4 linked regions of the Mus musculus genome follow. The protein of the gene in region 1 interacts with the protein of each later gene in a biochemical or structural test. Links are inferred from orthologs where the notes say so. Each region holds a gene or a part of one and is shown in the gene's direction. Other genes may lie near its edges. The genes, in order: Map3k1, Map2k4, Ikbkb and Mapk8.

Region 1 (7,936 bases):
CCTGTGTTTATCCTCCAAATGAACTTGGTGTAGCAGCTCAAGTGTGACTTAGGCCATTCCCGGCAGCCCTCTGTGGGAGCCGTGACCTGGAAAGCTCTGGTAAAAGTACTTTCTGGTAAAAAGCTCCTGAAACTGCAAGTGTGTACTGGAAATCACGGCTATGTTTAAGTCTGAGCGAAGATGAAAATCATAGCTGTGGAGAAAAGAGGGGAAACGGAATCAAATTAAGGCAATGGAGAGCCTATAGCAGTCTGCCATCTGACACGTGCTTCCGCAGAAATACATCACAGTATTCAAACAGCTCCAAAGATCAAGGTGGCGTGGGGTTGGGTTGGGTGTGTGGTGAGGAGGGCCACACTTAATCATACTTATGGCTCACAAAGTTGGGGAGGGACCTACCCAGGTAACTGCATTCAAAGGAGACGTTATATTAACATAGAGAGCAGACTTCCTTAGCCAATCTGGTCCTTTTATTACTTATCTCTGAAAGAAAAACGTGTGTCCAGGTATAGGTGCATAATGACAGCAGACTATGTCCATAAAAGATGAAAGGGAATGGGATTCAAATCAGGAGAAACTACTGGGGAGAGATAGCACTTAGTCTTCATAGTCTTCATAGACTGATGTGGCCTATGGAGGCCAGAGAACTGCAGTTAGTCAATTTGTGCTTCATTTGATGCCCACCCTCATCTTCAAACAGTTCAAACACTGTACAAATAAAGAGACAAAAGTCACCTTTTGCCGGAGTTCCTTTTTTCTTTTTTCTTTTTTCTTTTTCTTTTTCTTTTTCTTTTTTACTTTGCTATTCAGGCCAAACTTCCAAACCTGGTCCAAAGATGGAAACAAAGGCTGAGGGTCCGCAGTGGCTTTTCTCACAGGTACCTAAGTACGAGTGCGCCAATTTAAAGTTTATTTTAGATCTCAGTAGAAACCAGAAAAGCTAATCCTTTTCAATTTAGGATTTGGTGGGTGTGGCAATCTAGGAAGACCTGGGAAATAACTACTGTTTGGTTTGGATGTTATGCTTGTCTACCATTAAAAGAGCATATAATTATAGCCTAAATGTAGACCTAAATCTTGAACAGACTAATCTAAACTTTCAAAACGTGTACCTTTTAATGTAACCATTGAGAACTGTAGCGTGCCAGATGTTATAGCAGTAAGTATAACACCGAGCTCAAGCTGAAGTCAGGATCCCTTTTTAAAAATCCCTTTTGCCTCACCTTGCTCTCTGGCTGACATTACACACCTAAGGAGGGCTTCATTTGATCTACTTTGGAGAGGTTAAATGAATTATTTTGAGCTAGTTCAGGCTTTTGTCTAAATGCTGGAGAGATCTTTCCTTTCTCTGTAAGATGAAAACCCTTCTTACCCCTCCCCCCACGCCTCATGTCTTAATGTTTCACAAAATAAATCTAGAAATCCTGGGTTCTGAGAGATTGTCTATTCTAGACAAAGTGGCTAGGGGAAAAAAAAGTGGCAGAGGCGGGTGAGATAGGGACGACAAGGCAGCTTTATCCCGTTGAAAAAGGGTCGAAGGGGGGAAATCCCATATACGTATACTGCTTTTCTATCTCCAGCACATTTTCTAGACTCTGGGGCAGGAGAAAGGCGAGGGACGCCGCACAGGGCAACCAGGGAGCGGCGGCGGGAGGGAGGTGGGGGACCCGGGAACCGGCCTGTCACCTGACTGCCAGGAAGAGGGACGTGCAGCTGGGAGCATCTGTTGGGGGTGGGGAGAGACCTGGTAGAAGATGGCATGATCCAGCGCTTCCTGGCATAGCGCTGGCTCCTTCCCCAGACGTGCTCTCCCGCTTTCGGTTGGAGCCTGCCTTTCCAAGACGGGGGAGTAACCTCTGGCAGAGTACCCGGGTTGGTCCCTCTGCGTAGCCGGGGGAGTGGGGGGGAGGGTGTCCCAAACCAGCAGCTTCAGAGGTGCACAAGGTAGCGCAAGAAATCTTAAGTAGTGTTATTTGTGACACGAGGGCGGGACAAGAGGTCTGCTTTCCTAAGAGAAGGCTTCGCGTCCGCCCGTCTGCGGCAGGCGACAGTCCCGGGGCGCCACCTGCGCTTCGGGCGCGGGCCGGGCCGGTGCGCGCGGGGGCCCCCCCAGCAACCGCTACTAAACGCGTGAAGTGACAGACCGTGAGTCCTCCGGCTTGCGTCCCCTTCCAGAACCAGGGACTCACGCTCGGATTACTGCTTGCTCAAGGGTGGGCGAGCTCCCGCCGAGCCGCTGCCCCGCCCGGTCTCGCACTACCTGGCGGCGGCCTGGTTGCAGCGCACAACGCCCGGCGCCCGGTTCCCCGCATTGCCCCTGCCCTCCCACCTGCGCCGCGCGCCCGCCCGCCGCTCCGCGCTCCCGGGCCCCGGCCGGGAGGCGCGGCCCCGCTCGCGCCCGCGCCCGCGCCCTCGGCAGCAGCGCGCGCCCGCCCACCCGCCCGCCGCTCCGCCCGCCCCCCGCGCTCTCCCCGCCCCCTCCCTCCCCCGCAGGCACGAGCGAATGTAGCCCGCGAGAGAAAATGGCGGCGGCGGCGGGCGATCGCGCCTCGTCGTCGGGATTCCCGGGCGCCGCGGCGGCGAGTCCCGAGGCGGGCGGCGGCGGCGGAGGAGGAGGAGCTCTCCAGGGAAGCGGCGCGCCCGCAGCGGGCGCGGCGGGGCTGCTGCGGGAGCCTGGCAGCGCGGGCCGCGAGCGCGCGGACTGGCGGCGGCGGCAGCTGCGCAAAGTGCGGAGTGTGGAGCTGGACCAGCTGCCGGAGCAGCCGCTCTTCCTCGCCGCCGCCTCGCCGCCCTGCCCATCTACTTCCCCGTCGCCGGAGCCCGCGGACGCGGCTGCAGGAGCGAGTCGCTTCCAGCCCGCGGCGGGACCGCCACCCCCGGGAGCGGCGAGTCGCTGCGGCTCCCACTCTGCCGAGCTGGCGGCCGCGCGGGACAGCGGCGCCCGGAGCCCCGCGGGGGCCGAGCCGCCCTCTGCAGCGGCCCCCTCCGGGTGAGCGGCGGGCCGGGGCCGGGCGGGCAATGAATGAAGCGAGCGGGGCGCGCTGCTCCCGGGGCTCCGCTCGTTGGGGGTGGGGGGGGAGCCCGCGTCCCCGAGCCCTGAAGGTCGGGCGGCGCCCGGGACGGCGTGGGGACGGGACGGGAACGTGCGGGAGAGTTTGTTATTGTTTGCGGACATGTGACAGGCGTGGAAGCCGCGAAGGTGCGGGGCTCCCCGGGCCGGGTCCTGAGAGCCCCCGCGGCGCGAAGTGAGTTTGGGGGGCTCGGAGCGCGAAGGTGACGGCGGTGGGTCTGCGCGCTGTGACAGCCTAGAGCCCCTCGGCCCCACGGGGACGCGCGCCCGCGGGCAGGTACCGGGCCGGGCTCCGGCGGCGCGCCCCGGGCGGCCGGGGGATTCCGGGGACTGCGGGGGGGGGGGGCGCCTGTCAAAGCGACGCAGGCGGACGCTGCGGGCTCGCGGGGCGGCCGGGTCTGCGGGGACTCCGTGGCTGCCCTCGCTGCGTGTCCTTGGGAATTCCTCCCGCACCTCGGGGGCTAGAGCGCCCGGTGCTGGGAGTTTGAATCCGGCTTTGAAGTTAGCTTTTGGCGGAATGCTGTGGGATCCAGGACCGGATGTGTCAGCCATTCAGCTTCAAAGCTGTGGGGACTGCGCCCCGCAGCCCCGCTGCGTGGCGGGGACAGGGACGGTGCGGGGCTGCCGCTTTGCTCGCAGGGGTCTTCCGGTGCACCAGAAGTAGGATGTGCGTAAGATAGTTTACACCAACGGCTCTTTGGCCTCGCCCTGTTTTGGCTACTGGAAAGTTTTCTGTTAGAGGAAATTCTTTTAAGTATATGATACTTAAAAAAAAAATCTGATGAAAATACACAAAAGCATAAAATCTTGATGGATGTGTGAAGTTGCTGGATATGTTTTCGTCATCGTCACCCTGTGGCCCCCCGTAGAATTTCTTGACGTTTACTGTGGGTGGAGAGTGTTTTATTGTGTGTCGAATCTGACAGTAGGAATCCTTGGTTTCGGTTAGTTATCTAAGTAATTTGACCCCCTTTTGTGCTCTGGATTGTTTAAAATCACGGTCCGTTTATTACTTGGAGGTCGTTTTCCCTCCTCCCAACCCCCAAGCCCAGTAGTAAAAAGTGTGTTGACCCCTGGCTGTGGCAGGATTGGGAGGAAGGTAGGCAGTAAGCAGCCCCGATGCAGCTTTTCTGTGTGTGTGCCCTGTGTGCACTTGTACACGTATCTTCCTCTAGGGTTTCCTGTTTCTGTGCAGATTAGATTAAAACTAACCAGAATAATTCTTAGGTGGCAACTCTTACTACAGATCAACTACAGATGAAAGAAAAAACAGTAACTCAAACTTTGAGGAATTAATTTTATCTAGTCCTGTGAGACCTGATTTTTTTTTCTATATGATAATACAGTTGGCCACACTTAAGCATTTATAAAGTCAATATAACCACCTATGAATATACCATGAGCAGCAACTGCAAAAATGACATATAGAACTTTAGTGTTGCCTCTAGAAATCAGAGGACCAAGGTGAGGGCAGGTAGAATTGAATACCTGAGTAATCTGCTTGATTTTTGCGCATTCTTCTCTCTCTCTCTTTATCTCTTTAAGCAGTGGCTTATAATTGTAAAAGCTGTCTTTAAAATAAATACTGCTAGCTAGAATTCTGTTGGTGCACCTCAAATGTTATATGTGATAGTTTCATTTGCTGTAAAATATCGATTGTCAATCCTTTTGAAATAATACTAACACCCCCCCCCCCCACACACACACACACCCCGCCTCCAGTTTTTGTAACTGGTTTGAAATTCATTTCAAATCTGCGGGTCTAAAACTTATATCATGAAGAAGGGGTTATCCAGAAATGTTGTTGTGTTTTGGGTTTCCTGTTGTGATGTTTTATTATTTTCTCATTTAAAATCTCGGGGAAATGATTATACGGCATGTAGAATCTCAGTTGAACAATGTGGTTCCCTTTTCAAGTAGCGCACGTTCATGCTTTGAAGAGGAAGATCTAATGCTGATATTTTCGGTTTGTTTTCAGTAGTAGTAGAGAGCCAAAGACCCCTCTGCATGTCTAAAGACCTAACGTATTTTTCTTTTGTTTTTTTTTTTTGTTTGTTTGTTTTTTGTTTTTTTTAATCCAGTTTCTAAACGTTGGATGTAGAAATTGAATGTTTAGAAAATACACATTTATAAAAAGATAAGCTATGGGAAATTCATTAAAGTCAAAGATTGCATGTATGTCTGCCCTCTCTCCTTCAGTAAAATAACTCAAGCCAGTGAAAGTTTGTCCTGTAAGTGGCGCCCAAGGGTTTGGGATTTTTTTTTTTCCCTTATGCCACAGAATAGGGGGCTTTTCCTTCCTAGTGACTGTCTTTGAAGAAAAATTACAGTGCTGCTCTGCATTGAACAGGCTGTTGTGAGGTTGGCAGATATAATTACTCTGTCCTATTTTTGTAGTTTCAACCAAACTATCAATCACTTTGCTGCCCCGTGAAAGAGCAAGCTATGCTGGGCCTGTTAGTGTTAGCCTCGTTTAAAACTAGCGATATTTCATAAGCCACCTCTGCTGCTCGGGCCTCAGTTTCACTTCCTTTTAGAAGCTGTTAAGCTAAAAATACCACTCACTGATCATTTGCTAGAGGGAAGGCATAAAAACATTAATAATAAACCTAAAAATAAGTCCTTTCAAACTGTGAGTTGGTGATTCTCTAACATCATAGATGTAGCCCCGGAAGTTAGCCCTGAGTGAATTCCTGAGCTCTGGGACTTAGGGTTTCTCTCCAGGTTTTGTTTTAAACTGGGTAAGGAAACTACTGTATTTTTAAAAGATTAACCTTATTAAATAGGATTCTGGAAGAGAAATATCAGAGCTAGAGTGGTTGCCAGCTTTTGTTTTCTCTTCATATCTGATCTTGGCAAGAGTGACTGGTTAACCAACATTCCTTAATATGTGATTTCCAATACACTATAATGACTCCATTTTGTGAGATAGGCAAACAGGAAGGAGCCCCATTGATTGATGCTTCTGTTCCTCTCCAAGTGTTGCATGTTGTGGAAATGGTCACTGACGTGTGGGCCTGAAGCTTGCAAAATGTGCAGAGGAAGGGGGAGAGAGAGAGAGAGAGAGAGAGAGAGAGAGAGAGAGGCTACAGTTTGCCTAGGAGGAGTCTGCTACCCTGTCCTTGACCCTGCTGGCCAATTCCAAAGGAAGAAGTCGTCAGGGAGAATGGATTATTCTGAGGAAATCTGAGGGATGTTCCAAAATGCAGTTAGTATTGCCTCTGCATTCTGCACTCGGGGCGCTTCCCTGAGCTGAGGGGAAAGCTGTGTTAAAGGAAGTGGGAAAGCGTGAATGGGAAGGTCTTGGTCCATGGCGGGCACTGCTGACCCCGTGCCTGCACTTTTCAACGTAGGATGATTTGTTTGTATCACGGGTGTCACATGCATCCTTTAGACTGGCCGTCTTCCTTGGCCCTGGCCTTTCTGTATCTTTAGTGAAAAGTTACAGTTGCTGAAAAATGTCAAGGGAACTGGTAAAGCCAGGAGGAGGTAGACAGACAGACCCTAGCATGAGCAAGGCCTTGGGTTTGATTGCTAACATATATGCAATATTCAAAACATAACAATGTCTTTCAGGCATATCTTGAGAGTATTTTTAGTCATGAAAAAGAGTCAGGACCAGAATTCAGGCAAATGACTCACCAGAAGCGGGGGCGTTAGTCTGGTACCCTCTAGACCACTAAACGTAGGAATTTTACCTATGGCTTAAAACACACTTGGCGGGTGTATGCTTTTAATACAGTTAGCTTCCTTGCCTTCTGTGCGGCTGACAGATTACATAGATCACCTTGTTTAATCGCCACTGCCGCCCTCTCAGGCATGGTAACTTGTTTGGGGAGGTAAAAATTATTTGGATGTAGAGCCCCCCCCCCCCCCGCCCCCCATGAACACTCAGCCACAGAGAGGAGTTAGGACTCGACCCAAGTCAGCCTGCCTCTGTTGCCAGCGCCTCTCATTAGTTTTTGCTGTTTCTATTTTTGTTTTCAAGTTAATTATTAAATTAATTTATGAACTTTAAGAAGGAAGTTGCTCTGTAGGAGTCGTGAGAGGACGGGCGCGGACTCTGCCCTGCCTGTACAGATCTGACACATTCTCTAACAGCCTTGCGTGGGCACAGGCATTTTACAAGTAAATACTATGTATGCCACACACACACACACACACCCCAAACCCCCTGCTCTGGCAAAGAGGATAAATGATTAGTGTTGAAAGTTTCTTAGATTTGTGCCATATTAAATCATAAGTGAAAGGAGACAAAGAAGCCCGAATAGTGTTCCCACTGTCTTAGATTTCATTCATTCAGTGTAGATGAACTTTGCGAGACAGTGGTCTGGCTGATCAAAAAAGGTCACTGGTACAGAGCCTGGGTTTCAGTTGGAGGATGGTAGAGTGACCGTGTTTTGTGATCCTATGTTAAGTGCAGAGTGAGAGATCGAGAGAGATAGTGAGAGAAATGGGGGGGGGGGGGAGAGAGAGAGAGAGAGCGCGCGCAAAATCAGTCCTCTGAACCTCACCTACAGCCTTAGGTGAATACATCCGTACCTTCCTAGCCCCTGAGGCCAGTTTTAAGTCAGTAGCTAGGAAAGCTGGCTTTGCCCCCTGCTTGGTATTCCTGCTCCTTTCCTCTGGTTGTTTGCCCTTCTCTGAGAAGAGAGGCACGCTGGGTTTGGGCAGCCTCAGCCATAGTAAACAGATACAGATCTGGTTCACACTCTGCCCGCCCGCCTGCCTGCCTGCTCTTATTAAGAGAGATGGAGACAGAGCTGCAAGTTCAGGCATGGCTTTTTTTATTCTCTTGTTCTAAGAGAAAATTAAAACAAGGGTATGGGATCCGGAAACTCAATACCTGCCAACACTGGTTTTAAA
Region 2 (8,107 bases), on another chromosome or scaffold:
TGGTGGCAGTGGTGGCAGTGGTGGCAGTGGTGGCAGTGGTGGCAGTGGTGGCGGTGGTGGCGGTGGTGGCGGTGGTGGCAGTGGTGGCGGTGGTGGCGGTGGTGGCGGTGGTGGCGGTGGTGGCAGTGGTGGCGGTGGTGGCGGTGGTGGCAGTGGTGGCAGTGGTGGCAGTGGTGGCAGTGGTGGCAGTGGTGGCAGTGGTGGCAGTGGTGGCAGTGGTGGCAGTGGTGGCAGTGGTGGTGGGGCTATTACTCTTCTTACTTTTCCAGATTTGGAAATTGGGGTCCGAAGGTGAAATCCATTTGTAAATTACTTTTATTTCATTTGGGATATAAAGTGAAAATGTACTCTTTTTTTAAATTACAAAGTTTAAAATTTATTTTATTTCCTGTGTATGAGTGTTTTGCCTGCACCTATGTGTTTGTAGCACGTGCATGGTTGGGGCAAGCAGAGGTCAGAAGAGGGTGTCAGATTCTACTACAGATGGTTCTGAGGCACCACGCTGGTGCTGGGAATCAAACTCAGGATTTTTGTAAGAAAAACTAATGCTTTCCACTGCTAAGTTATATCTCTGGCCCCTGAAAACTCTACTCTTAATCTAACCACTGAGACATGAATCATAGAGAAGCAGCAAGCTAGATTTTGCCACTGAGGTTCCCTAATCACCGGCTAGGCAAACATGACTCTTTCTCTGCAGCGTCTTCCAAGGCAGCTTGCTCTCACTCCACATTACTCTAGACAGTGGTGTTAGTGCTTCTCCAGTCCTCTGGTTGCACAGCAGAGTCTAGACTGCCAGGCCCATGCAGAGATCCGGTACACTGATTTATAAACAGGATGTTTCTGGGGTTTAATACACATTGTCTAATTGTCCTCCCTTTCTCCCCCCAAATTATGCTAGCTACTACTATTATTACCCCAAATTCCAAGCTCCCTTCGAGATATTCATTTTTAAAAGCCACATACAATGTTAGTGTGCTGTAGCTGCCATAACAAAGCACCACAGGCAGATAGCTCAAGCAACAGGAATTTGTTTGCTCATAGCTCTGAGATCAAGATGTGGCCAAAGTGGTTTCTCTTCTTGGCTCGTCGATCCCCATGTTCCAGTTTCCTCATGTGGATCGTTCCCTATGTGTCCACGCACCATCTCACGCTAGGAACACCAAGTGAGTGGGCTAGCGGTCCCCCAATGACCTCTTCTATCTTACCAACCTCCTTAAAGACCCTACCATCTTCAAACACAGCCCTTGTCACAATGCCAGGGCTCAGGACTTCAACAAACAAGTTCTGAGGAATCCAACTCAGTCTATAATAAACACAACACAGAAACTTACAAGAAAAATAGGGACACAAGAACAAGCAAAAGGCATGCACACAGCTTCATCAGCTTTAACAAGCCCAAGTCCTGTCTTGTTTCTGCCCACCTGTAGACTTAATGAGAGGTTCTTGTTCTCAGTCCTTATCTATTAGTTTACAATACCAACAGCGATGCAAATCCAGGCCAGCTTTATCACAAGCCCAACATTAGACAAATTGCTTGGCTGGTTCACACCCCAGGAACACACCCTTACCTTCATGAACTTGCTGGGTTGAGTGTTTTCCCCAGGTTTCTTTGTTACTTGCTGTCTCTTTCATGTTCATTTAACTATGGTGGGTCAATGTTTCCCTAGTCTGATTAAAGTCCTTTTATATGACCTATACACCTTCTAAGGGAATATTGGAAACAATAATATATGCATCTTCTAGCATTCATTCAAACTCCAGTGATGTCTTTAAGAGATTGGTGCATATATATATATACATATATATATGCACAATATATAAAAAATATAATGTAATATAATAACATATTATACAAGTATATATCATATTATATATTTTGTAATATATATAACTAGTATAATACATATTTTATAATATATATTTTATAATATATACTATATACTATATAAATAATGCATATAATTATAATATAATATACATTATTAAATAACTATAAACTTGTTGGAAGTGGGGTGAGAGATTTACAAAAGCACTTTCCCTAAGACTGTGAGATATTTATTATTTACACCAAAGACTGAGATTGGGACGCTCATGAAGCTTACGGAAAGAGGGAAATTCAAATTCCTCTAAGCTATTTCTTTGCATTGCTTCAGCCCCCAAGGAACTGTGGAAATGACACTCACACACCACACTCACACACCATAGTGATACTAGAGCCGGCTGGGAAACTTTCCTGACAAGTCAAATGCCATGACACACTGGGGTCAGAGTCTGGTAGTGACAGGATCTGATTCTTGTTTTATTGCTAGCAAATTATGGAACCTTTGATGCCTTTCCCCTGGGTGTTAAAGTGCCCAAGCTAAAAATAAAAAATAAAAATAAAAACGCAACTATATTATATTGTTTTTTTTTTCTTTTGCGTCCACCCATGTTTCCTAAAATGGCGATTTGTTTTGGAAGAAGTATTTTATTTGATGTTTTTCATCCTTAAAACCATTTTTAGAGAAGATTCTGGAACCCATCCATAAACCAGGTTGACTGAAAACTTAGAGAGATCTGCCTCCTAAGCACTGGGATTAAAGGCATGTGTCGTCACGGACAGCTTTATGCTCTTTGATTCTTCTTCTGGAACTAAAATATAACTTCCTTCAAAGAAAGCCACCTTCTGATCTGCGCTTGAAAAAGAGATGCGTTTGAAGGCCATCACAGCCTCACCTTTTGCTGTTTGCTGTCTTCTTCCCACACAGAATAAATTAACAAAATATTTGGCATGGATTCTGGACTGAAAAGCCTACACCGGAACTTTTTCTTTCGGGTTCTGATACTTTTTTTTTTTTTTTTTTGTCAGTGAAATACTCCTGTTAGTCCCCAGCAGAACAGAGAGCTCTGGGTTGAGACCACAGTTATTGTCATCTCTTCTGCAGTGATGGATCAGAGACTGGACAGGAAGCGTGACTTCTGAGATCTCGTAGAACTCTACGTGTTCTGATTTTGGGTTCTGAGGTTCAGAGAAGGGAGTTCTAAAGCTTTGGGGCTGTAAGTCTTTCCCTTTTCTCAATGCACATATATTTCTGATTCTGCAAGCCACTATGGGTCCCTGAGTGGTAGGTTGAGAGTCACCCTGATCCAGGACTTCAGGCCCTGCCCTCAGTGCTGGGCGCTGCAGCTCAACCTGTATTGCAGGCTGCGCGTCAGTGCTAGTGGGGGTGTGCCCGGGGGCGTGACGGAGGCGTGCCCGGGGCGTGGCCAAGGCGGCGCACGCCGCGCCCTCAGCGGAGCGAGAGGCCGAGCTTGCTGCATTGCAGCCGCCGCGGCGCCGCTCGGCTCTTCACTTCCAACAATGGCGGCTCCGAGCCCGAGCGGCGGCGGCGGCTCCGGGGGCGGTGGCGGCACCCCGGGGCCCATCGGACCTCCAGCTTCTGGCCACCCGGCGGTCAGCAGCATGCAGGGTAAGGACGGTGGGCGCGCAGAGACCCCGGGGCCCCCTCGCGAGGCGCTCGGCCGAGCCGCGGCCTGTGGAGCCGCTGCGTCCCCGGGGCTGTCTGAGGAAGCCGCCCGAGCTCCGCGTCTCGGGCCCGGCCTCGCCCCGGGATCCCCGCCCCGGGCCGGGTTTCGGTGAACGCTGTGGCGGCTCTGGCTCTGCCCGCTCCGGCCCACCTGGCCGCCCCCGCCCGCGGCTCACCTGGCGCCCGCTGGCTCCGGGAACGCGCGCGGCCGGGCCTCTGGCTCGCAGGTCGGCCGCGTCCCGGCCCTCGGCCCCGCCGCCCCCGCGCGCTGCAGTGGGGCCGGCTCAGGGCCATCTTGCGCTTCACGGTGCGCCGCTGGAATAGGGCCACTGCGCTGTCCCCCCGTCCCCAAAACTTTGCAGGGTGTCTGCGTGGGAGGGGCGGGGGGTTGCGAGGCCCTGGGCCACCTGTAAGGTGGGGAGACAGCCATTGGCCCCGGAGAGGCGTTTCGACCCAGGCCCGAGATGTGTCTTATCCTCGCATGCAGAAAAGAAAAATCAGATAAAAATAGAAGACCGAGTTGGGCTGAAAGGGAGAGAGATTCAGGAAACCGAATGGCAGAGGTCAAAGTGATCATGTCTGGGCATCTGAGGCAGCTCCCCTGTAATGGCCTTTCCTCACCGGGAGGCCTTAGGAGCTCTGTGTGGGATTTGACAGGGGGTGTTGTGAAAATAACAGGCCCGAGTCCATTTCTTAGGTTTATTGGGGGGATTGACACAGGCAAGCCCAGAAATCTCTTGACAACTTTAGCAAACGACTTATGTTGAATTATTAGAGTCGTTTGGATATCTTTGGTATCAGTATGATACCAACTCTTCATAAAGCGCTCCTTGTGTCTAATGAAGTTCAACAGATTATATGTTGAAAATTTCGTGTTTATGCCAGCATACCATGATTTGGGCAGCAGAAATACGATCTGTATTTACATCCCTTCCCATAAGAAACATTTATGGGATAGTATATAAACAGATTGAGCATTTCATTCAGAAGATATATTCTGTACAGGTCCTAAGCTAATTAATTCAAATTTAGTTAGTTATTGGATGCCTGCTATGCTCCATACAAAATACAAGATGGATTTTCTTCATCTCACACCTTTACTGTTTGTTAAGATAATTTGGGGTTCTCATCTCTTTTGCCCTGTCCACAGTGGGTGACTTAAAGTTTAAATATTTTAAGGGTAGAGACAGAGCCTGATTTGAGCTCAATCCCTGGGATATACATGGCAGGAGAGAACTGATTTTCTCAAGTTGTCCTCTGACCTCTACCCTTGAATACACAATAAATAACTCAGTAAAACAATGAATATATTTCAGGTGTGTGTGTATGTGTGTGTGTGTTTTGAGAGACGTGGCTGACCGTTTGAAAAATCTGTATACATTTTTTTTTCTTGTTCAGAAAATCTTGAGCAGCTGCTTAGAGCCAGCGTAGAGCTCCCTTTTGAGTGTGTAGAGACTAGTGAACCCAGTGTCTCACCTCTGATGGAGCTGCTTAGAGCCAGCGTAGAGCTCCCTTTTGAGTGTGTAGAGACTAGTGAACCTAGCTGTCTCACCTCTGATGGAGCATGTCCCTTTGAGGATGCAGGAGGGAAGACATGGAGGTAAACAAGAAATGGCTTAAGAAAAATGAAGGCAACGGGCTGGGTTTTGTGATAGAAGATTACAGGGCCATCTCCTTGATAAGATGACAGAGAAAGCCTATCTGGAAAGAACAGAGATGGGGCCTAGGCAATGAGAACAGTGAAGAGGGCAGACCATCTAGGAACTCTGAGTCACATGGTCAGGAATTCTGATGTTTACTGTCCATCTCTGCTTTTTGATATCTGGAACTCTACTTAAAGGGGCCCTAAACTGTCTTAGAATTATTGCTGAATTTTTAAAAGACCTACCAGAGAGAGGTGGTGGGGGTGCGGAGAGGGGAAGAGGGGGGTGTTTTGCATGTATGTATGTATGTATGAACACCACATGGTTGGTGCTGGAAAGGTCAGAAGATGTCATCAAACCCCTGGGGCTGGCTTTGCAGATGGCTCTGAGCTACCAAGTGGGTGCTGGAAATCAAACCTGGCTCCCTTGCAAAAGCAACTAGTGTTCTTAAGCCCTGAGCCACTTCTTGAGACCCTGTTTTGTTTTTGTTTTTATCTTTACTGATATATACTGATATATCTTTCCTTGAGGCAGGAACATGATAGTTATATCCTGTGTTTTGAACTTGTTTTGATTGCTCAGAATAAAGAAATGCTTGAAATGTTTAAGGTGCTGTGTAGCATAATCTGAATTAGCAAACTTGAGTTTAAGTAGCAAATTATTTTTTTCTAGGTTTGAGCTAAACTACCCCTCCCCCCCCCCTTTTTTTTACTGGTGTCTTTTTTTTCTTCTTCACATCATCATCATTTTTTTTTAAAGATTTATTCATTTTGTGTATGTGAGTACACTGCTGCTTTTCAGACATACCAGAAGAGGGCATCGGACCTCATTACAGATGGTTGTGAACCACCATGTGGTTGCTAGGAATTGAACTCAGGACCTCTGGAAGAGCAGTCAGTGTTCTTAACCGCTGAGCCATCTCTCCAGCCCTACCAGTGTTTTTCTTCGGATTTATTTTTATTTATTCTTTTTGAGATGACTTCTTCCTGTGTTTTCCAGGCTGCCTCCCATTTCATAATCTTGCTATCCAAAAGACTGCCTTTCTTGGAGTTGTTCATGGTCAGGTCTTACTGACCAGCAGATTCAGGAGTAGGACAGGGTTAGAGTTCAGCAGTCATTGACTGATATCCAGGAGGATAGGTACTTTGCACAGCTTGACATCTGTGACCCAACTGTGATACAAAGTTGGAAACATTATTTCCATTATATTGTAATGCTCAATGGCCAGAACCTTGGTCATCCTCATCCCAACTCAACCAGGACTCAAGGTTTTTGTGAGTATAGTGTTTAGCCTCTCTAAACATCTGTTTCTTACTTGGAAAGTAAGAATAGTGCGTATCCCACAGGTACAAGGATAATGTACACAAAGCATGGGACCTGGCATACCGTGAAGATGCCATGCATGTTGGCCATCAACATTCTCATCTGTTATTTCCACTGGACCCTGTTTCTTTACCCCTGTGTCCCTAGCCTCTTGTGACCAACTTACACATTTCCTTTCTAGACTTTATTGTGTGTGGGTTGGACACTTCTAACCTGTTGATGTCACTATTTTTCACTACTAAGGGACCCAATTTTTAGAATTCCAGAGAAGAGTTTGTTCAACTTCAAACTCTTAAAACCTTGTTTTCTGGATCAGGGATTCTCAAATGATGATAATGCTGTTTGTTGTGTTTGAGGTACTCTTGTAGTTGTAAATAGGCTGTGGGATGTGGGTAGCTGGAATGGGAATTATAGCAGCTTTGGCTTCTTAACAGTCATCATTTGTTCATTTCGTTACATTTTCACAGAGCAGTTGTACTTCTTATTTGGCTATTGTTAAAGCATTCTTCCCACAGAGTCTCAGCTAATAGAGAATAGTAGCTGATTTTGCTATTACTCATATGTTTGAGCTTTCATTCATTCTGACTCACTTTGTTTTTGAACTTCCTCATGTCCATATAGAGACGTATAAACATTTACAAGCTGAATATGCTCTCCCATCCCCACCCCCATTCTTCCTTTGATTATTTGGTGAGTAAAACTATCAAAATGTAGATCTGCTTGCAAGTTGGGTAAATAGTATTATAAAAATATATTAGACATTAGGATATGCCTTCTTTTGAGTAAGAAAAAATATTCAAATGAGCTATTATTAAATTGTCCTTAATTCTTAATATTTAGTTAGAAATTGAAAACATTATTTCCCCAATAATTAAGAGTTTGAAAAACCACTTCATTGATAATTTGTCATCACAGATAAATTTAACTGAGGTTTCTTGCATGGTATGGTAGAGACTTTCTAGTGGTATCTTGAAAAAGCCCACGAATTTAGCCAAGTTAGTGAAAGCATATCAGGTGCTCAATCTCAGGTGAGCTGGGTATAAGTCGAAGACCTAATGTTCCATAAAGTCACCATGGGCATGTTAGAGAATAGCAAATATTCTGGGGAAGAAAGCGTTCCAGCTGAGAGTTGAGCAACTTCAGCAATGAAAACACTGCATGCTGATTTCTTCTGTGCTAGTGGCTTTACCTCTGCATAGAGCAATGCCTTAGGAACAAGAGTTCAAAGTTGAAAGGATGCTGCATTTACACTAGGAAAAACCAAGGTTTAGAGTGTGCCTTTTGCACACTCTGCACCCTTGGGAAAAGACCAGATTTTTTATAATTTCCCATAATTTCTCATCTATTAAAAGAGAAGATACATAGCTTATATAGAGACTGTTTTAAAAATCACATTAGTGCATGTGAAATGTCTTATATCATAAAATACTATGAAATGTAAAGATTATTAGAAATGATATTTACCTGTTTTAGCGGCTGGTCATTTAATATGTAGTGAATTTAAAAGATTCTTAAAATATGATACATTGAATTTATTATAAAGCCTTAAGGAGACTGGGGAGATGACGCAGTCTGTAAAGTGCCTGCTGCATAAGCATGAGCCCCTGAGTTTGGGTCCCCACAGCCACGTAAAAA
Region 3 (7,446 bases), on another chromosome or scaffold:
TTGTTCAGATGTAGCTATTTGTCTAGTTATTCATACATTTGTATAAATAGAACTAAGAGGCTTTTAAAGAGCACACACAGTTTAAAGGCTTTGATGTATCTTATGCCACCTGCCAGAAGCGGTTGTACAAAGACATGCTTCTGCAGGAGTGCACCGATCTGACCTTTTCCCTGTGCCAGTCTCAACAGCAATGTCTTCCTTTAAAAAGAACAAGACAAGTATTTACTCCAAGAAAAACTATATGGTAGAAGATGACAGTGACTTCTGGCCCTGCTGCCTCCAGCTCCCAGAAGCTGGAATTACAGGCATGTTCTATCACACCCAGTTTTATTCAGTGCTGGGGATGGAACCCAGAACTTTCTTGCATGCTAAGGCAAACACTGGACCATCCGAGCCACATCCCCATGAAAATATTTCTAGTGAGAAATGAAGCCTGGCCTTTGAAGTCAGTTCTAGAAGAAAGGTTTGGGTGGTAGCAGCAGAGACCACCTCCACAGTTAAACCCACACTCAGTCAGTACAGAGGCAGAGAGTGTTCTCTGGAAAGCCCACTGTCCTACTGCTTACCCACAAGGCTTTGCTCTTTCAAGCCCGTGGTTTCTGAGATATGGGAGAATTAGGTACATAGTTCATAGTCACACATTATAATGTAACCAGAAAATAAAATAGCTCTAAATTGTTCGTAATGTACTGATTTCAGCTAACCAAGAGATTGGTTGTTTTGTCTTCAGTTCGAACATCAACTTTTCCAAATTGGTGGGCTCCGTCTCCATAACGGAGGAAAACATCACAAATGTTGAACTTTTCTCTGCTCATAACAAAATAAGTTAGTCTGTATAGAACTGAAAACACCTTTAATGGCCTGGCATCTCCACATTTTTGTCTGTTGTCTGTGAGATCTTTCCCCTAAAACCACCCTTACTTGGCTTCAAGATGCCAAGTTCACTGGAGCCTCGTAGGAATCGTTCTGTGGACTAGTTATGAGAAGACCTTCTCCTGGGTTTCCAATGTTTGGTGACATTTTCATCGCTCAAATGACAAGACATGCAGTCAAGCAGTGCATGTGTTGCTCTATGCAGCCATTGGGTCTCCTGCTAGGAGACTGTGCTCTATAGAAGCAGCTGTGTAAGTTAGAAGCCACAGAGACCCTGACCTCCGCCATCAGTTCCCCCCCTAAGCTGAATGCCAGCACCTTTGCCATGCAGACGGCACCTTCCATACTTCCTGCCTGCCCTGGATAGAGCACCCACTGTCTGCCAACTGTAATTGTTTAAGGCTAACGCATTTTGTTTTTAATATGAATGACCCCTTTTAGGGGAAGGATATATTTGCACTTTTAGATACTAGAAATTATATCAAATTTTGAGCCCTTTGTTCTGTCACTCTGTAGTGTCTCTAACATTGGACAACACGCACTCAGACTAAAAATAATTTCACCACATGGGGTCATCCCCGAAACCAAAGGAACTTTGGCAGAGTACTTGGTCATTCATGACGCATTATTCAAATTTAAGTTGGCCTCGTTTCCAAGAAGGTTGGAAACCACTTGGACTTAATTTTTTTCCCCTTCCAAAAGTACTTTAAATACTTTAGGAATGCCCCTACGTTAGAAAATGTAAAGGCTCATTTATTCTAAAAAAACAAAAACAAACAAACAAAAAAAAAGTTAGCCATATACTTTTAAAGGGAAGTGTGGGCCTGCTTGGTAGCTAAGTGGGTAAAGGCACTTGTCCCCTGAGCTCTGTCTCTGGAGCCCTAGTGGTGGAATGAAAACCAGTTCCCTTAAGCTGTCCTCTGAGATGCATGCCATGTGGCAAGTGTGTGCATGCATGTGCATGAACACATATGTGCACACATACACACACAAATAAATAAATGTCATTTTTAAATAAAAGTAAAGTACATGTGTGCTTATTTTACATTTCAAATAAATGTGATGTATACACAATGACCGTGGTTCAGAACCCCCAAATTGTCCTCTATCCAAACATGAGAGCTGTCCTGGGGACATGGCTTGGCGGTTAGGAACACTTGCTGTTCATCCAGAGGACCTCGGTTTGGTTCCTAGCACCTGCATCAGGCAGGCAGCCCACAGGAGACATATATCCTTCTACACACACCTAAGTGCAATTGAAAATGACTGTTTTCAAATGGAAGTTGGTCCCTGACAACTGAGGTGCAGAGGAAATTAGAGACATGGCCAAGAGCACTTGGTCGCCCATGCAGCACTACTCAGACTTAGGTTGTCTCTATTCAGTCCTCCACACAGAGGTCAACGGTGCCTCCTGGAGACTTAGGACGAGAGGCCTCCTGCTGGACTCAGTGCACTGAGCTAAGCCCCTAAACACAGTGCCGACCACTCACAAACACTCCTGCTGAACTCAATGCTTAGAGCTAAGCCCCTAACCACAGTGCCGACCACTCACAAACACTCAGAGAAGCATCCTAGCAGCATGCTGCCCACCGTTTTCCAAAAGAATAGTCGTGAAGTGACATTACACGTGTAAACCGGGTACTTGCCACTGAGTGACATAAAGGACATCTTAAAATGACACCTACAGGCACTCCAAAGTCCGGCAGAAGAGCGAAGTGGACATCGTTGTTAGTGAAGACTTGAATGGAGCAGTGAAGTTTTCAAGTTCGCTACCCTTCCCCAATAATCTTAACAGGTAAGGCCGTGGGGCATCAGTCTTATAGATCTTCTTCGCCTCTGTTTAGAGCTACAGGTTTGAGATAACAGCTGACTCTTTTTTACTTTAATTTTATACGTTTGAGTGACTGGTGCCTGTGGAAGCCAGAGGAATAGTCAGATCTCTGGAACTGGAGTTAGAGATGACTGTGAACTGCCGTGTGGGTGTTGGGAACCAACCCTAGCTCTTAAGCACTGAGCCATCTCCAGGCCCATGCATAACTTTTGAATAGATATCAGAACACCATCCTGTGATTGAGAATTTGGACCAGTCTATCTCAACATTAGACATAGGATGGGTTTCCATATCTCATCTTCCTAGGAGTCTTTTTAAAAATTGTTTATTTGTTTGTTTGATTGGTTGGTTGGTTGCTAGCTTGCTTGCTTGCTTGCTTGGGTAGGTAGTTGGTCAGGTGGATGAGTGGGCGGGTGGGTGGTTAGGTGGGTGGTTGATTGGGTAGTTGGTTGATTGGTTGGTTTTTTTCTATGGTGGAGATGAAGTCCCTGGCTTTGGTTTTGATTGGTGGCTTTTTTGTTTTGTTTTTTTGTTTTGTTTTCTTTGGTTTGGATTTGATTTTTTGAGACAAAGTTTCTCTGTGTAGCCCTGAATGGCCTGGAATTCACTCTGTAGACCAGGATACCCTGGAACTTGGGGAGGCACTGGGGAGGCAGAGGCAGGTGGATCTCTGTGAGTTCGAGGCCAGCCTAGTCTACAGAGTGAATTCCAGGACAGCCAGCAGCTGGGATCCCTTTGTGCCCAAGAAATGTTTATAATACCCCAGATATGTAGATACATAAAGTATATAAGTCAAGCATCTACTGATAATAAATCATATATTTTAAAAGAATCATTTGGTTTAATCATACTGTTTAAAGGCAAATATTAAATTTTATTAAAGACAAATATTAAGTTAAAATATTCATATATTAAACTTACATACTAATGAGATTAATGAAATGTATGTGATTCGTTTACACAAAGAAATCTTGGCCTAATTTTTTCATATTTTCTTCATATGTGTGTTTACACATATGTACACACAGAGACATGGTGCTGATCAGGAAACCACGGAACCAGGCAAGCACCCCACCCAGCTCTCACAAGCCTTATCAAAGTGTCAGGGTCACTTTCAGTGTGTGCAGGTGTATGTGTGCTATGGAAGACAACCTTGGCTCTCTTCCGTCGCTCCACACCTTCTCCTTTTCAAGGCAGAGTCTCTCTCTCAGGTCTGGAATTCAGCAAGTAGGCTGAGCTGGCTGACCCCTCAAGGATCCACTCATCTGATAGAAGCATTTCTTATGTGGACTCTGGGATGGAACTTAGGTTCTCATGTGTGCACAGCAAGCACCTCACTCGAGCTGAGCTATCAGCCAAGGAAGGCTGTGTGTGCTTCGGGATTTGCACACTGCGGCAGGCCGGCTCAGGCCTCTCTTCCCTTTGCTCCCTTAGTGTCTTGGCTGAACGGCTGGAGAAGTGGCTGCAGCTGATGCTTATGTGGCACCCTCGGCAAAGGGGCACGGATCCCCAGTATGGCCCCAACGGCTGCTTCAGAGCCCTGGATGACATCTTGAACTTGAAGGTTAGAGCAGAGCCCAAGCAGCCCCGAGGCAGCAGCTGTGGTCCCCAGTGGAGCACAGCAGTCTTTCCAAGGAAGGGAGACATATCAGATCGTGGGCCACTTGGCCTTGTGAAGAAATTCAGGTTCCTCTGACTCTTTGGGCTAAAAAGAGGACAGGAAAATTGAGATGACTGACATGTTTTGACATCTTGCCGTTGAGGAAAAATGGGACTTAAACTAGCCCTTTACCAGCAAGTATGGGTTGGGGGTAGCAAAGGGTCTTGGCAAATCCATGAGCCTTTTGTAAAGAATTTTGATTTTTGGGATAGTGAGATAGCTCATCAGGTAAAAATACTTGTGGCCAAGCCTGACAATCTACCTAATGGAAAAGAGAACCAACTCTTTCCAACTGTCGTCTGATCTCCACACACGTGGTGTGGTGTGCGCACGTGCTCCCCCCTCCTAATATGCAAGTGTCTTAGTCAGGGTTTACTGCTGTGAACAGACACCATGACCAAGGCAACTCTTACAAGAACATTTAATTGGGGCTGGCTTACAGGTTCAGAGCTTCAGTTCATTATCATCAAGGCAGGAACATGGTAGTGTCCAGACAGGCATGGTGCAGGAGAAGCTGAGAGTTCTACATCTTCATCCAAAGGCAAACAGGAGAAGATTGGCTTCCTGGCTGCTAGGATGAGGGTGTTAAAGCCCACACCCACAGAGACACACCTACTCCATCAAGGCCACACCTCCAAATAGTGTCACTCTCTGGGCCAAGCATATTCAAACCACTACAGCATACAAACACACAATGTAAATAAATGTTAAGAAAATTTCTTCCCAGTAACATCTGGGTTGTGTTGCAGCTGGTTCATGTCTTGAACATGGTCACAGGCACCGTTCACACATACCCCGTGACGGAGGATGAGAGTCTGCAGAGCTTAAAAACCAGAATCCAGGAAGACACGGGGATCCTGGAGACAGACCAGGAGCTGCTGCAAGAGGCAGGGCTGGTGCTGCTCCCTGACAAGCCTGCTACTCAGTGCATCTCAGACAGCAAGGTGAGTCCTGACTTCTTCCTGCGCCCTGCTTGCCCTGTTTCCCTCAGATGTGGTCTCCTAGAACACTGTCAGCATTCCACATTACTACTCTCACTATGACAATTGTATACAGTGACACCGTGTACAAACTGCTTGATGGGTCAGGAGTCCCAGGTGGGTCGCTAAAAGACACCAATCATTCCATACTCAGTTTGTCACTTCCAGACCACGAATATTTTCTTGTGCTTCCATTGCCAAAATCATGTTTTGCTCTTCTAGTCAGGCACCTGTGCTAAGGCCATCGATGTGTGACATGGTGTCTGCCCCAAGGTGTGGAGTAGTTATGGAGGCTACAGCCTCTGCACAGGGAAGTGTGATGTGTTCAGGTCACAGGAGAAGCAAGCAGAGTAAACTAGAACATGATGTAAGGCAGGGGCAGGTTCAGATAAAAAGGGTAGGAGAGAAAGCAGGCTGAGTCACGCGTGCTTCTTAGGCTACGATGCTGCCCTCCACGTGCAAGTGGAACTGCTTTAAGACCAAGTAGCCGGAAAGGAAGGGTGGGATCCCCAGGTCTCATTGTTTTCTTGTCCCTCTGCAGACAAACGAGGGCCTCACGTTGGACATGGATCTTGTTTTTCTCTTTGACAACAGTAAAATCAACTATGAGACTCAGATCACCCCCCGACCCCAACCGGAAAGTGTCAGCTGTATCCGTAAGTGCATCATTTATTAAAACCCATCAGTTGCGATATTTAGGGTAAAGTTGGAGGAGCTCCTGGTTGTTTGGTTCTGAGTATATAAAGCCTCCTTTACTTGGAATGTGCAGAGAATAGTCCAGGCAAAGTACTGGTTAACTGCCTCTCACTAGAGGTAGGCACAGGGTTAAGAAATACCACCTACTTCTGTGGTTCATTTTTGAGGTTGCATTTATATTTCAATAACTAATGTGCATTGGAGGGTAAAAGCAAGAGGGGTCAGGAGCTCAGCCACATAGGATGTTCGAGACCAGCCTGGGCTACATGAGGCTCTGCTTATAAACAAGAATGACATTAACATAGGTACATGATACAAAAACAACACAAAGCCTCAAAAGATACCCAAAAAAGAATACATAAGGCAAAGTGAACACTCGGGCTCTAGTCCCCAGCCAGGAGGCTTGCCTTCTGTAGAACTACTGCTTCCAAGTGCTTGGGTATCCCCCTCAAAGAGACCACGATGACACAGACATGCACTGTTCTGTGTGTCCCTCCTCACCCAAGTCGCTCATTTCCTCTCCCTCATGTTGGAGGGCTGCATGGTGCTCCACTGCATGTTTGTTTGGTGAACATCTTACTAACCTAGCCCCGTTCTCAGCCCCCTTTCTCTCAGATACATACTTGGAGTAAACAGACCAAAGAGCTAATGTCTCCGAGATCTCCCAGGCTTCTTGATGATTTAAATATCTCTAGTATTTCTGGTTTCAGGCTTCATGTTAAAGTACTTGCTTAATTAACTTATTTGTCACCGTTGAGGGCCGTATGTGACACACTAGAGGTGTGCACATATAGAGGTCAGAGGACAACTTTGGAATAAGTTCTCTCCTCCCACTTTCATCCACATAGTCCCAAGGACGGAACTCTGGTCTCACCCACTGAGCCATCCCATATACTTTCATATTTCAGGAAAACTCCATACAACTGGTACTGGGCTTCTGGCTACATCATGGGTTCTCCTTTCTTCGACCCTTTTCCTGCCCTCTTCTACCCTTCCAAAGCCCTGACACTGAGTAGGAAAGAAAAAAGGAGAGAAGGACAGAGGGCAATGCCATTGTTAGACTACTTCCTGGTGGTTAGCAGTGTCGATTTCCTTGGGACAAGTTTGATCTTCCCTGACAGGATGTTTAATTTCTTCTTTTTGTCTTTTTGCACATGACAACTTGACAAACCTCAACCAACCACCAACCACCAACCAGCCAATCAGCCAACAGCTTCCCTCCTCCCCCAATTGGGGCTTTAGCATTTATATATATCCTCTGAAAAGTCCCCCTAATTCCAAATCTCACACACTCAAAACAAAACAAAACTATGTGCAGCTGGCAGAAGTCACACCCCTGCTAGATCATGAGGCAAATCATAGTCAGCTGCTGTGGACAGTCGGAAGCAGCCTGGCATCCCACACCT
Region 4 (7,446 bases), on another chromosome or scaffold:
TTCTGACCTCTTATAGAGCAAGGGTTAAGGAATTATGTAAAGTCCATATTCTGAATGTTTTTTGTTTGTGGACATGGCCTCTGACACAACTACTGACAACTACTGCCCTTCTATCATAATATCAACTGTAGATAACATGGGGTAAAAATGACTATGGTTAAGTTTGCATTAAACTTCCTTTGCAAAAGCAATCAGTTGAAGTCCTGTGCAGATGACATAAAATAGTTTACCTCTGCATAATTTGGATCACTTTCCACTTTGATACTGCTGTCAATACTGTTAAATAACCAAACTCATGATCCTGTGTCCTTGCATAGGTTGTCTGATCTGAAATGCTTGGGGCCAGAGTATTTCAAACTGTGAAATATTTTAGATTTTAGATATTTGCATAGACTTATAGTGAGCATCCCTAATCTGAAAATCAGAAATTTGGGGGGGATCCAAATCAAAGAACTGTCATGATGGCCCCTGTATTCTTGGACTGATTTGAGACTACCTTAAAGTTTTCCTTAGCATAAATATCAAAGTAGTTATAACAGCCTTTTGAGTATTGACAGTTATACTAAAAAACCAAAAATACTTAAATTTGGGCCTTTCAGATTTCAGATTAGGGATAATAGTAACTCCCAAGTCTTGGGATTCAGCCAGAAAACACTAGGCTTAGCTACAATAAAAAATATCAAACTCTTATTTTGTTTTTTGGTTTTCAAAGCAGGGTTTCTCCGTGTATCTCTGACAGTACAGGAACTCTGTAGACCAGGCTGGCTTAAACTCAGAGATCCACTGCCTCTCAAATACTGGGATCAAAAGTATGCGCCACCACTGCAAAAGCAGATATCAAACTCTCAGTAGCCAAATATGACTAAGGTTTATTTTTCACATTCTGTATGTAGGCACATCATGGTAGGGGTAGACATTTGGATTTATAGAGATGCCCACTATCTACAATGTTACTAATCACCAAAGCAAGGGAAGATCTGCAGGAGGTCATGTTCTGGCCCTTCTCCACTCTGTTCCCACTCTACCTACTAGGTCTACTTTTGCTATCTTGCCTGACTAGAGAGAGAGGCTTGGACAATGGGGGGAAGGAGAGGGTGGGTTAGAATGTTGAGTTATTTCTACTCTATCTGCTCAACTCCAAGTAAACTCCAAGTCACTCTTCCTATAAGTAGTTATGACATATGTAGAAAGATAAACATTGATACAGAAAAAAATGAACTTTAGTTAATATTCATAGAGACAAATACTCTTGGCAGTTTATTTCCATACACAGTTTCTTTTAAACTAGAAATGTATTTGCCCCTAATCATTTCAGAACAAAAAGTATTTTGAGTTTTTTTCTAGACTAGACCACCTAGTATAAAGAGGCAGTAATCTCCAGCTGTAGCAACAATCCTGGGAGGACTACTGAGTTTATAGTGGTTATTCTTCAGCATGGGTATTCCTTTGTTTTATATTACCAACATTCTATTTGCAGAATAGAAATGATAACATTTTTATCTTCTGTGGGAATAACGTGTAGTCTTAGTATGCTTAATTTCAAAAGGCCTTAGTGTCTGTTTTCTTTATATATTTTTTTTAATTAGGTATTTTCTTCATTTACATTTCCAGTGCTATCCCAAAAGTCCCCCATACCCTCCCACACACACACTCCCCTACCCACCCACTCCCACTTCTTGGCCCTGGCGTTCCCCTGTACTGAGGCAGATAAAGTTTGCATGACCAATGGGCCTCTCTTTCCACCGATGGCTGACCAGGCCATCTTCTGATACATATGCAGCTAGAGACACGAGCTCCGAGGGGTACTAGTTAGTTCATATTGTTGTTCCACCTATAGGGTTGCAGATCCCTTTAGCTCCTTGGATACTTTCTCTAGCTCCTCCATTAGGGGCCCTGTGATCCATCCAATAGCTGACTGTGAGAATCCACTTCTGTGTTTGCTAGGCCCCGGCATAGTCTCACAAGAGACAGCTATATCTGGGTCCTTACAGCAAAATCTTGCTAGTGTATGCAATGGTGTCAGCGTTTGGAAGCTGATTATGGGATGGATCCCCAGATATGGCAGTCTCTAGATGGCCCATCCTTTCGTCTCAGCTCCAAACTTTGTCTCTGTAACTCCTTCCATGGATGTTTTGTTCCCAATTCTAAGAAGAGGCAAAGTGTCCACACTTTGGTCTTCGTTCTTCTTGAGTTTCATGTGTTTCGCAAATTGTATCTTATATCTTGGGTATTCTTAGGACTACCGGTTAGTGTCTGTTTTCTAAGCCTATCCATGTTACCTTGTCAGAGTAAGTTAGAAACAGCACATAAGCATTCTTGCATGTAGATATTTAAAAAGGGATCTTTGTGTTAAGGGCCTTAGCTTTTGCTGTTAATCTGCTAGTCATCTGTACATGTGAGAGAGTTTGTGCTGTGGATATGAGTGTTCATCAAAGCTAAAAGGCAAGAGCATGATGAATGTGAAGGCCTGGGTATTTATGCCACTGTCTTCGTTTTAATAGGTATTGCACACATTTTCTTCTACCTCGAGCCAGGCAGCAGTTTTTCACAAAGACAGTATTACTATCAGAAGAAAGTAATTTTATGGACTAGTGTCTGTTACATGTGAACGGAAGTTTATAAGCAAATGTTTGTGATATATGTGGGAAGTCAGGAATGGGCAGACTGATAATCACTTTTTGGTTCTTTAGAACTGAGTATCTAGTGTATTGAGACTGATTCCAAACTTTCCTCCCCACAAAAGTGAACATGTATGGCTATCATTGTTCAAGTAACATATACCTGGATCGTGTCAGGATTGTGTAAATATTATCAGAATGCTCCATGGTGGATTTAGAGCGTTTTAAAGTTTATTGTGACTTTAGAATGAGTTTTTTTATTTTTTAATGTTAGTGAGTACACTGTAGCTGTCCTCAGACACACTAAAAGAGGGCATCTGATCCCATTACAGATGGTTATGAGCAACCATGTGGTTGCTGGGAACTGAACTCAGGACCTGTGGAAGAGCAGTCTGCTTGCTCTTAACCACTGAGCCACCTCTCCAGTCCTAAAATGAGATTTTTTAGTGCTATTAATTTAGTATGTAAATGAATGTACATGCTAATTTATGATTCTTACCATAATAGCACTTTTTTGTTTTTGATTGGTATTTTGAGATGGGGTCTTGCTGTGTGTCATCATTTTTGATTGCTGTGGCAAAAAAACTGACCAAAAACAACCTCAGGAAGAAAGGGCTTATTTCATCTTACAGTTTCATGTAACAGTTCATCTCTGAGGAAAGTCAGGCTAGAACCTGGATTAGAACTTGAAGCCGATGCCATGGAGGAGTGCTGTTTACTGGCTTGTTCCTGGGTTATCTTGGCCTGTTTTCTTAGACAGCCAGGACCACCTACCCAGGAATGGCACCATCTATGGGTTAGATCATCCCACATCAATTATTAGTTAAGAAAACAACCCACAGAGTTGTCTACAGGCCATTCTGGTAGAGGAAGTTTCTCAGCTGTTGTTTCCTCTTCTTACATGACTCTAGCTTGTGTCAACTTAACAAAGAACTAAACATACACTGTGTGTATTGAACTTCCAGCCTTTCTGCTTTGTCCTCGACCAGGCTCTCCTCATCTTCATAGAGATAAATAAAAGAAGTAAAACAAAATAGAAAATAAAATTTTAATACATTTTTGTTTTTAAGTAAATAAGCATTAATAATGTACTGGCTTTGTTTATGCAAATGAAATGATCTTAAATCTGACTTGGTGGGTTTGCCTATGGTAAGGAACCTCTGCAGTGGTCCTGCAGACTATGTAACTCAGTTGAGCAAAACAAATCTGTGTGTCTGTCTTAGCAATCATTTTAATGTTTATTTCTTCAAGGACTTAAAGCCTAGTAATATAGTAGTCAAATCAGACTGCACTTTGAAGATTCTTGATTTTGGACTGGCGAGGACTGCAGGAACGAGTTTTATGATGACGCCTTATGTGGTGACTCGCTACTACAGAGCACCAGAGGTCATTCTCGGCATGGGCTACAAGGAGAACGGTCAGCATACACTTTCGCTTTGAAATAGTCTTCTGGTTTTGTTTATCAATCAGTTTTTAAATACTGTAATTGAAATGCATGCATTTAAGTATTCATTACTACTTCAAATGTCTATCCAGGATTTGAACGTTTTGCCGTGAATGTTTGGGAAAGCATGAGAATCTTATCTCAAATGGGAATACCTAGATGAAGAGTTCTAAAACTAGGATTTATGCCCTCTGCTTGTCTGTAATTTAAACATAAATATATATTTCTCAATGATTTAATCTTAGTAATAATTCTAGTATATATTAGTCTTATTTGCTCTCATCTCCAGCACCTTTAGTCAGTGTTAACAGTAGCGCTCACAAGCCGGGTGTGGTGGCACACACTTTTAGTCCCAGCACTCTGGAGGCAGAGGCATATGATTTCTGTGGTCTACAAAGCAGGTTCTAGGACAGCCAGGACTGTTACACAGAGAAACCCTGTCTCAGAAAACAAAACAGAATAATATAAAACAAACAAACAAGCAAAAAATAGTAGCACTCACTATAAACTCTGAGAGCTACATTTTCCAATTCTGGAAAGTTAGTGGGTAACTCAGCCTCGTATGGAAGCACTCGTGTTTGATTAAAGCCTGTGCCCCGTCATAAAGAGATTGCATATAGTATTATCTGTGGATAGGTTGAATCAAACCATAACTTTTTAAGTGTGGCGTGTTTCTAGGATGGAAATTGGAACAGTGGTTCACTTTAAATCAGGAAACTATTAAGTCAATCTTGAACATACATATATACATACTTAAGCACATGTATATGATACCAGTGAAATTGGGGAGATTGCTTAATTTCCTTACCTTTTTTGAGCTAATTTAAAACAAATACTTTACATATCAACTATCGGTTTTTAAACTAAACATGCTTTTCTGTTTCTAAGTCTCAACATAAGGTTTAAAAGTTTTGTTTTGAGAATTGATAGGCAGATTGCTATTGCTTTTGCTGTGAAACTTTTGATTATCACAGAAATTGCACCACATGTTAAGTTCTATAAATATGATCTTGACATTAGAGAAGCTGTCATAAAAATTGACATGTTGTCTGTCCTCTCTTAGATGAGAGTCACTTAGATCTCTCATTGCTTTTCCTGCCTGTTTCCCCAGGAACCAAGTCAAATCTCGTGTTTCCTCACTCATAACTATTAGCCAGCAGGAGGTGGCATATACATATCTTCCTCTCAGACACACACACACAGGGGAGGGGGGTAGAAAGAGAGTTTTCCTGTTTGGTTTTATTGCAGAGTATTTCAGGACAGTTTGGGAAATTTGGGGGGTAATTAATCTATTTTAAACGGCCTGATAGCAAATTAGACCCCTTATAGCAGGTTTTATAATATGGAGGTCTGCCAAGAGACTGTAGATCACAGATCTGTAGGCTCTTTGACACTTTGATATTGTATTCCACCGAAACTAACTTTTAAACCCAAAGTTTAAAAAAAAAAAAAAAAGTAAAAAAGAGATAATGAAAAACACTTGTTTATCAAGGTTTCTTGGTAGATAATGCTGTTCTTTTTCTGTCCATTTGTAGACATGGGTCGAGGTGGATATAAATGTAAAGTGGTGTTGCCAAGAGAATACGTTACTTTTAGTTCAGAATAAACAAAGCCTTTTCAGTTAAATAAGCCTGGGAAACCCAGGTGATAATTTTCTGAAAAAAACATTAGGTTACTATTTTATTAAAATGCAGATATCTTTCTGTTTTTAATATGCTAAATTATTTCTGCTCATGCTTGTTAATTTAACTTAAAGAGAGAGTAAAATGCACAGTTAAACCTCAAAATAGTACATCTTAATTTTATAATTTTATGGCCTTATATACATTTTAAATCTTATTTTTAAATTTTGTTTGGTTCTACTTCATATATTACATGCAAAATCTCAGTTATAGAATGTATGTTTTTTAAATTTATGCAGTATCTGTGCATAGCTCTCACTTTAAAATTAGACATGTAATTAAAATGCCATACTTCATATTTTCTTTTGTGAATCAAAGCTTTTTGAAAAGTATTTTGTGTTTTAAATTATGCCATTATTTGAAATTAAAACCACCTTTTTCTTTTTGTGATGTTCTGCAATTTTTTAGATGATGCAGTCATATTACGCTTCTTTGATTTTAACAATCTTTTGCTTTGCTTTTTCTTCTTTTGTGCTGCAAACATATAGTGGACTTATGGTCTGTGGGGTGCATTATGGGAGAAATGGTTTGCCACAAAATCCTCTTTCCAGGAAGGGACTGTATCCTTGTGCTGCTGCAGCAGATTAATTAGCTAGGTGATGAACTTCCTTCTGTTTGCTCATGAAAAGAAATACATGCTACATTTGTACAGTACAGGTTTTAAAATAGATGTAAAGTTTGTGACTGTTATAGTTCAAAAACTGGTTGAGCTAAGAAGCTTAAGTGTTAGTAGGCTGCATTTGGCAGCAGGACATACAGTCTCTGCTGGTCGTCAGCACATTCACCGTCATTCATTTTTATTTTATATTGCTTTTTATAATTTTAAGTGTATATGGTGTGTGTCTTTTTAGTGTTTATATATTTTTCTTTTTATTTTAACCAAAATCTTTATGTTAATGTCATTGCATTTTGTTTTCAGTTGACATTTGGTCAGTTGGGTGCATCATGGGAGAAATGATCAAAGGTGGTGTTTTGTTCCCAGGTACAGATCGTATCCTTATCTTTGGCCTAAAATGTAGTTTCTAAAGGTCAAAATGGTACTGTGTCAGCCTGGTCAAGTAGAATGTATTTTGTCTCTTCCTGATACAAAGTATTGTTAAATTACTTTTCCAGAGTACCACCTCTTACCTGACTTTCTTCTCCTCGTTTATTGATTTATATGTTAATTTTGAAAAGGTCTCAAGTGTGGTTAATTCATAGGTCCTTGCTTGCTTAGAGTTAATTAACATAAAAAGTTACGGCTTTCACTAAAGTTTCTAACACTTGAGTAAGTCTTTAACTATTGTGAAGGTAGCATGAATTTTGGAATTATCTGTTGCTACTGTTTGTTTTTATGTTTGTTTGTTTGTTTTTTGGTTTGGTTCCCCCATGTCTTTCTGTTATTGTTCTGTGTGCTATGTCTTGTTGTCTCATTACATTAACATAGCATGCTGAGAATGTCAGCAAGTTTTCCTGTGTTGGTAATTAGGTTGGATTCATGCTTTTAGTTCCATCAGTTTTTAGTATTTATGTTAACAGTGATGTGTTGATCAGTGAGTGACACAGAATTGTTTTAGGTGGAATGAGAATATTTACCATGTAACAATAAGAACGTGTGTGGGACAATAGTTATTCTTCAGAGGCTTGGCGTATAAAGACCCGAAAACCCCAGTCTACAGCATACTGAGATACTGGTATCATGTTCATTTATTTCAGAGCTTTA

What was found.
Region 2: of the proteins of Map3k1 (region 1) and Map2k4, one has a biochemical effect on the other in vitro, tested with the Homo sapiens proteins (7 studies listed by BioGRID and IntAct, with this or other methods). The link is inferred for Mus musculus from reciprocal best matches to the Homo sapiens genes MAP3K1 and MAP2K4.
Region 3: of the proteins of Map3k1 (region 1) and Ikbkb, one has a biochemical effect on the other in vitro, tested with the Homo sapiens proteins (3 studies listed by BioGRID and IntAct). The link is inferred for Mus musculus from reciprocal best matches to the Homo sapiens genes MAP3K1 and IKBKB.
Region 4: of the proteins of Map3k1 (region 1) and Mapk8, one has a biochemical effect on the other in vitro, tested with the Homo sapiens proteins (3 studies listed by BioGRID, with this or other methods). The link is inferred for Mus musculus from reciprocal best matches to the Homo sapiens genes MAP3K1 and MAPK8.

The regions. Positions count from the first base shown.
Region 1 is NC_000079.6:111,803,556-111,811,491, reverse strand, and holds the start of Map3k1 (mitogen-activated protein kinase kinase kinase 1), read left to right. Parts: upstream 1-2,498; 5' UTR 2,499-2,522; coding exon 2,523-2,989; intron 2,990-3,426; exon of another isoform or gene 3,427-7,936. UniProt on the Homo sapiens protein: Component of a protein kinase signal transduction cascade. Activates the ERK and JNK kinase pathways by phosphorylation of MAP2K1 and MAP2K4. May phosphorylate the MAPK8/JNK1 kinase.
Region 2 is NC_000077.6:65,783,478-65,791,584, reverse strand, and holds the start of Map2k4 (dual specificity mitogen-activated protein kinase kinase 4), read left to right. Parts: upstream 1-3,225; 5' UTR 3,226-3,340; coding exon 3,341-3,449; intron 3,450-8,107. UniProt on the Homo sapiens protein: Dual specificity protein kinase which acts as an essential component of the MAP kinase signal transduction pathway. Essential component of the stress-activated protein kinase/c-Jun N-terminal kinase (SAP/JNK) signaling pathway.
Region 3 is NC_000074.6:22,670,185-22,677,630, reverse strand, and holds part of Ikbkb (inhibitor of nuclear factor kappa-B kinase subunit beta), read left to right. Parts: intron 1-2,560; coding exon 2,561-2,668; intron 2,669-4,138; coding exon 4,139-4,268; intron 4,269-5,113; coding exon 5,114-5,308; intron 5,309-5,885; coding exon 5,886-6,000; intron 6,001-7,446.
Region 4 is NC_000080.6:33,389,531-33,396,976, reverse strand, and holds part of Mapk8 (mitogen-activated protein kinase 8), read left to right. Parts: intron 1-3,869; coding exon 3,870-4,035; intron 4,036-6,232; coding exon 6,233-6,304; intron 6,305-6,663; coding exon of another isoform or gene 6,664-6,735; intron 6,736-7,446. UniProt on the Homo sapiens protein: Serine/threonine-protein kinase involved in various processes such as cell proliferation, differentiation, migration, transformation and programmed cell death.